Coturnix japonica: one gene and its partner. The protein of the gene in region 2 interacts with the protein of the main gene of each other region in a pairwise test. Links are inferred from orthologs where the notes say so. Each region holds a gene or a part of one and is shown on either strand. Other genes may lie near its edges.

Region 1 (3,818 bases), on a different chromosome or scaffold from region 2:
ACAGTACATTTCTGACCACAATCTGTACTCACTGCTGCCAGAATCAGCTGGGCTGGAACTTGATTTCCAAACCTATGATTAAGTACACTCTAACTGAACCTTTTTTCCTCACTTTCCATCCATTTGCTCTACTGTGCTAAACCACAGCAGGTAGCACAGTCCAACGAGGGCTCATAATTTCATGTACAAAGCTTACAAAGATGTTTCAGGCAGCCCTAAGTCATCCTTCCCCAACAAAGAAATGGACCTCAGCTAATCCCGTGGGTACCAAGAGACTGGATCTTACTTAAGACTTATCCTGTTGTCAAATTCTGTATAACTTTTTTTCCCCTCACCTTTTTGATTTCTCTGAAACTGAAGCAGTGATTCTGGCCTTCTTTGTAAAGTCTTACAATCCAAATCCCTACCTGGAAGTTAAGCATTAGTATTACTATCAGAAGCAATTTGAAGATCCCAGATATTTATTCAGAACAGCTGGCATGTTTGAAAACTCAGTTGTAAAGCATTTCTTATAAGACTCAATTTAACCTACATACAACACTACCTTTCTTATGATGGTTTTATTGTTTCTGGCAGCATCCATAAAGTATCAGGTGCTGTAGATTCAGATAATTTTAACCAACACCAAGAGCTCCTTCCTCTCAACTGACTCTATACAACCACAAATATGGAGTGAAAGTATGTCAGGGAGAGGTGCTTTCCCAGTTGTGGTCCTTAACTACCTAAATAAAAGGCTTTCCCTTCTAGTCCAAACAAGTATATTCCAAAGGAAGGGGCTAATTGATCCATAGATTGTTGTCTGTTCTCTTCCAAAATCCTCCTCAACTCACATATCACCAAAATGACTTTATCTGAGCTGCAGAACTCTGTCTGTCCTAAGCAATCATGGTATAACTTGTGTAATGATGCTTCAGTGACATTCAACAGTACTAGGAAACAAAGGCTGCTTTCCTTTTGGAGCATCAGGATCCTAAAAAGAGACTTGAATTTGAAGTGTGCAAGTTAGTCATGTCCCACTATATAACTGCACACTCATGAAATACTATATGCCAAAGTTGGGACCATTATCACCCAGGTTGGTCACATTTTCAGTTTTATCTCAAGGTTAAAAAAAGGTGATGTTCTTTCTAGGCAAAGTGAGTGATACAACATGTTGACGAGTTGTATCTTTAACATATTTCCTTGAAATTTGCTATCACAGCAAGGAAATATCTGGAGCTGTGAACTCTTCCTCATTTGGTCCTGAGCTTAATGAGTCACTTGAACAGAGTGAGGTTCACGAAGTTCCCTGAGGAAGGTTAAACACTTCCAAACACTCTTGTGATCCTTTGCAACTGTAGATTAAATCTGTATTGGAAGTGAGGGGTCTGTCACTGCATGGAGAAGTCATAAACCAGAAAATGGAGATGTCTTTTGTCACGCAGCTTTCATCAAGCTATTCAAGACGGGCTCACCAGCAAAAAAGCTTACTGCAAGAAAGGATGTTGTTTCTGGTACAGTTGTCATCTGCTTTGCTTTTGGATGTGCAGAAACCTAGGCCTGTGGGAGAAAAATAAGCAGTTTTAAGTCTTGCTAGGGTGAACACAGTTCTACCTCTATCATATAAAGGCAGCAACTTACCAATGGCAGTAATTTCATCAGAGCTAGTCACCCCACCAGAAATGCTCACCTGTGCCAGAATCTCTGACTCAGAAAAGATTATCTCATGATATAATAAAGTTCAGACAGTTGAAAAGAGTCCCTGGTTTGTTAAAGGTTGGCTTCAGCTGCTGACTTTCTCTTGCTGAGTTTCATTCAATATATCAGGCTGCAGGGATCTAATTTATATGGGACACAGTCATATACTCAAAGTAAAATCTGAATGTAAAACAGACTTACTTGCCACAAAAGTCCTTGTGAACAGCATGAAGGGTGAGGAGCAAGTCAGGATGCTCACACAGCCAATCCTCCACCATACCTGGGTGTCTGGGATCAACTTCCAGAAACACACTCCTGAAAAGATGTGACACATAACTAGGTTGCTAGGCCAACAAAAACTAAAATCTTCCTTTATGGAACGCTGCAAATCAGTGATCTTAAAACAGACTGCAGCTATCTATTTAAGAACAGATTCCAACCGCCTCCTTCAGAGGAAGAAAATGTTGATCTTAATGGGAATTTTCATGATACTCCTCTGTAAGAGCAGTTTTAACCTGGTACTGAGATGATAGGAGCCTTCTGAACCCTGCGTAGGAATATCACCCACCAGCTTTATCTTTCTGATGCCCACAAAGATTCAAAGTGGAGCATGCTGCTCTACAATGCAAATGCACGAATGCTGAACACTGGACTGGAAACGTGGAGTTCCTTTGTATGAGAATGGTGACATTAAGTCCCAGCAGTGAGAGTCAAAGTACAAGTCAGTACACACATTTTACTGTGATAATTATCTCCATAGATGAGTTATGAAACCACCACCAGGTTTCAGGTCATACTGTCTTACACATGATTGACTATACAAAGGAGAGAGCAATAGGGATAAAGGAACTAGTCAGACAGCTTCAGATAAAGCACCAGGACACAGCTTGGTCACAAAGAACCATTTCCATCTTGGCTGCAGCCAGGCTTTGTGACATGGGCCCATTTCTGAAACTCTCCTCCTGCAACAAGGTGGAACCACTCCAGGTTACAGGCAGGTGGAAATGGACTACAGCCTTTGACAGTTTAGCAAGATACAAGTTAAACAGGCAAAGCACAGAGGCCAAGCCCCAACCCTACACTCTCTTGAGAATTCCTGAACAGCCCCACACCGAACACTCCCTATAAATTCACCAAACTAATTACGGGCTGGGTGTGGTTCTTGTTATTGACCTTAAAAGACTCCTACCCCGCAATGTGGGCTCCACCTTATAAAACAAACAAAAAAGGGACTAGGAAAAATATCTTAACAGTCATCCCCACGGGACTGATGTCTCCCGCTGGGAAGCACTGGGGAACAACTTCTGCTCTTGTGGCTGAGCAAAAGAATATGGACTTTTTTCTTTCCATTGTGCTCCTCGGTACTCCTGTTCTTCTTCCCAAAACAAGAGATTTTCAATGATCTCTCTGACGCTGGTAAAGACAGGAATTTTCAACAGGATATAAGACTGGCAGGGCACAAAAGACATTTGGATATCAGCATGCTGATCTTCAATCATAAAATGGATCTCCCATGACAGCAAGTAGAAACCAATCAGTCTCAAGCATCCCTTGTGCAGAAATCCAACATTTAAGAAACAGTCTCACGCTGATTACCATTATTCTCCCAGGACATTCAGCACTGAATCCTGGCATAACATACAAGCTTCCCTAATTAAAGAGTGAGAGGGAAACAGATCTACACCCATTCTCACAGAGCACTATATTGTTTTTCCCTTAACAGCTTTTCTGCTTGGAAAGCTTTTTTTTTTTTTTTTTTGTACTTCCTTTCCCTCTGTTCTCTCTTGTTCTTTCTGTTGCTGCTTTGAGTTTTAAAGATTCTAATTTTGTTAATGTCTACAAAACACCAGCGCTGGTTAAAGAAGGCCCATATCCCTACATTAATGAATTTCAAACTTCATTTCAAAATTAATGATTTTGCTTATATACATCATTTTTTTTTGTAAATAAATACAAATGTATTACTATTACTAGATGGGTATTTCTGCAGTCATTTTCCCCCAGTACAATCCTGTATGAAATAACAACAGTAGTTACAGATACGGAGAGAAGATGTGAGATTCAAAAGGAGGATCACACTCACCCAGAATCCTTCAGAAGAGAAGGAGCCAGAGTCAGAATTGTTTTGATGACTCTCATCC
Region 2 (3,818 bases):
CATTTCTTATATAGGTGGTCAGTGAAGCACAGATACTGATGGAAGGAGAAGAGCAGATTCAGTAATAAAGACTGAAGAGAATCTGATATTATATCTGCCCTTCTGCCAGCACAGCCCCCCACTCCCTCTGACTGCTGGCACAGCAGAGCATGAGGCAGGAGAGGGCTACACAGAAAGGCTGTGTCTATTTAATACGGCAGCACAAGGGAAGAACATACCTCTGTCAAATGCCATTTTGACATCTTCAATAAGATCACTAAATCCTGAAACTCTGTACAGTCCTTCGGAATTAAGACCTGCAGGGAACATTTCAACAAGATTAAAATCAGTATTAATTTCACAGCTTCCTTCCACCCAGTCCTTTCTTTGCCAGGTTCTTCATTTAAGGGAAGAAAAACAGACCAGTTAACGGCCTGATCAGGCTTTTCTTTCAGAATGAAATCTTAGCAGGCTAAGATTTTAACCCTGCCCTTTTAACCCTGACCCTTGTTTCAGCTGCTTCCTTATATCAGCACTTAATTATGTTTATGCAAACGGTTTCAGAGCTGAAGAAACATATTAAGCCAATTACAGCAGATTTAAAAGTAACCAAGATTAACATACGAGATGTTCTGTCATCATTTCAGAGTGAAAATAAATATTCTAATTGTAGAAAAGGGTATCTGTGCACTATGGGAACTAGCAAGAGGAAACACGTCCTCACTAACTGGCTTTGATTCTGGCACATTCACTTGATCTTTTATTAAAGATATTACTGGAAAGACAGGTGCCAATATGTAACAACCAAGTAGTAATTATCCATTAAGCAGGTTCTAGCAAAATCTATAGAATTATAAACGCGTATGAACCATGAAATAATATGAAGTATAACATTAACAGTGTAGGGTAAGTGGCAGTCATAAAACGTCTTGTGCAAATCTGTTTTGAGCAATCATACGCTCAGCAGAAACCCAGATGACCCAGATCAATCTAAACGGATTATCAGTAAAGCAACGAGAGCCCATTAACTACGCCTTACCTCGGGATTCAATCTCCCTAATGCACATGTCTACCACCATGGGTCTTTTAGTGAAGTGCGCTTTGACTAGCGTGGTAAGGTCACAGCTGTACACTTTTTTGACGTGCTTCAGGTCTGGCTTGCAGTCATTTGGGACCATCTTGGAACACTGCTTGTGCACATTTAAACCACAGTCTGAGGGAAAAAACAAAGGACAATTAGGCTGGTGTTTGGTGAAGATGGATCCTGAGGTCAGGGATGCCGAGCACACGAGGACCCTGACCTGATCCTGCAGCTACAGCTTTTGCAAGGCCACGGGCTGGGTGTGCAGCTGTGCTGGCAGTCACCAGAACAGTTCTATTCACTTTAGAAGTGACTTTGGGAGGATGTTCCATTTACCTACTTATTCATTTGTTCTTTCATTCCTTTATTTTTAAGCAGGAACAAACTGCTCCACAGCAGAAGGAAGAAGAGACTTAGCCTAAGTGAAGTTCAGCTGAAATGACATTATGGAAAAATGTTTGTTCTGCTCAAAACCACACAGAACATACTAACCAGGGTGTGGGAAAAAACCACAATCATACAGGAAACCAACACTGATTATAGAGCACAGTCACTTTTCAGCTAAGCACAGGCCGCTGCCTCTGTCAGCAGCGGTGCCCAGCCAGCAGCCAGCACCCTGATATCACTGCAAGTTCTCCAGTTCTGCAATGGAGACTTGCAGGCATTTGGGAGGGAGCAGCCAGCAAGAAGTGTGGCACTGTGCAGTCAAGGCCACGTGCAAGCTGCAGCTGGTATTCAGAGAGCACCAAGCCCTGCCCACATCTCTGTGCGGCTCTGCTGCTGGGCCCAGCTCACTGTGCTTCCACAGTAGTGGAATGAAGGGATGTGGACACCTGAAAGATCAACAGCTTTCTGCAGAGCCTCCCCTTGGATTATGCCAGCAGTTTATTCACATTACTGCAAAGAACCTTGAAGCACATCGGCCAGTGGGGTGAGGGCGGCTCTGCCGGGGCTTTAAATACCACCAACACTCCATTTCAGTGGATCTCTGACAAATCAGGTCCCTCAAGGCTATAAATAGGGAGCCCAAACTCTTTGGAAACGTGTGACCTGAATCCTGCAGCATAATCCTCCGTGCTTCAGCTCTATAATGGAAAGGGGATGCTCTGGCTTTTTCTGGCATTGACATTTGTTGTCTGTTTGTGGGACTGCACCTCACCTTTTGGTGCAGGGTTCGAATGCTGTAATGTCAGGGTAAGCAATGGCTCCACTTTCAACAGCAAGGAGTAAACAAAATTCTGAGCAGTGCTAGCAAGCCAGAGCCATCCTCTCTGCTTCCAGAGCAAGGATCAGCAGCGGAGACAAAACAACATGGAGCCAAAGAATGAGGGGCAATACCTCTCTTGCACACACGGAAAGGAAACATCCTGACATCCCACAGGAAATCTTAATTCTTGATTTCCCTTGTTTTAAACCCCAAGTTTGCAGCAGAAATACTATTTATGACTGCAAATATCATGATCGTACACAAATTGCTACAGCTGCCCCAAGGAGCACCTGCTCCATCAGGGTGAAAAGGTTGGAATATTAAAACATTTATCAGAAATGTTACCAATGTCTGTCAGAACTGCTGTCTACAAGACTGAAATGGTTCCATCTTACTCATGAGGACTCACCAGACATTTGCTGAGTGCAAATTAGCCACTTCACATAAACAGCAATACAGCTTACAGTTATGTTTCTGGGAATCCAAGGCTAATTAAGACTAAAATATATAAAAATAGAAAAACATGCTTCCAAGCATCTTATACTTGACTTAAAGCAATTATTGCATTCACTGAGCTCATCCTAATTGTATTTACATACAAGAAAGTTTTATTTCATTAACATATCTAATTTACAGAGATGTTTCCTATGTGAAAACCTCACTTCTAAAAATAATTGTGTTATTGCTAATCCCGCAGACTCAAATAGGCTTTGGATCTGACCTAATTAATGCCAGAATTACAACAGAAAAAGTCAACTTTCCTTCTATCTTTTGTTCTTCCTTTACACTTGACTGGATTTTACGTGCTGACCCACTGCTCAAGGGCTTACGAACACTCCTGAGAAACATTTAAACCCAGAAATACTTCAGATAGTGAATGCTTACAAAGCACACGAGCACTGCTTTCAATAACACCATTGGGCCATTCAGTATCTTTCTAACAGTCAAGGCTCTTTAGCTCTTACAATGAATGTAGGGGACTCACTCACTTTAGCAACTTGACAGCAGTATCTACTTGGAAGAGACTTCAGTGTATTTTCAAGAGAAAAAAGCTACCTGTTTCAACAGATGAGCTGAAACTCCCCAGTGCTGTGGTTTCTATCGGGTGAATCCCCCTCCTGAGCTAAGGGTCATGTCTCAGTCACTGGTCTCTGACCAAGCTGACAGCCAGAGTCACGCACGGCTGAAGGATGACCGTCTGTCTGTCTCACTGACTCAGACAAGGTAGAAAGCACACAGCCAGAAGGTCAACCCTCTGCTCCACAGAGCTGTGTGCAACGTGCCAACCTTCTGCTCTAATGATATCCAGCTTACTTGTTAGTACTAAAAGACAGCACTTACACTGCAAATTGTGCATTATTAAATACATCTGCCCTCTGCTCTCATTGCAGATGCTTCATCAAGGCTTTGAAACCCATTACTTGAGAATCAGCTAGAAAGAAACAGGAAAGCATAGACCTGATTCTCTCTGTGCACTTTTGCATGGTGAAACCTCAGGTGTGCCTGCCTTGTCTGCATATATCTGCATCATCTGTTTGCATTTGTTGATTA

What was found.
Region 1: the proteins of CHN1 (region 2) and HEMK1 interact in binary tests that used the Homo sapiens proteins (3 or more experiments, as listed by UniProt). The two-hybrid records come from large-scale screens. The link is inferred for Coturnix japonica from reciprocal best matches to the Homo sapiens genes CHN1 and HEMK1.

What each region holds. Positions count from the first base shown.
Region 1 is NC_029527.1:947,963-951,780, reverse strand, and holds part of HEMK1 (MTRF1L release factor glutamine methyltransferase), read right to left. Parts: coding exon 3,761-3,818; intron 1,993-3,760; coding exon 1,879-1,992; intron 1,540-1,878; coding exon 1,503-1,539; 3' UTR 1-1,502. UniProt on the Homo sapiens protein: N5-glutamine methyltransferase responsible for the methylation of the glutamine residue in the universally conserved GGQ motif of the mitochondrial translation release factors MTRF1, MTRF1L, MRPL58/ICT1 and MTRFR.
Region 2 is NC_029522.1:14,963,168-14,966,985, reverse strand, and holds part of CHN1 (N-chimaerin), read right to left. Parts: intron 1,193-3,818; coding exon 1,019-1,192; intron 297-1,018; coding exon 219-296; intron 1-218. UniProt on the Homo sapiens protein: GTPase-activating protein for p21-rac and a phorbol ester receptor. Involved in the assembly of neuronal locomotor circuits as a direct effector of EPHA4 in axon guidance.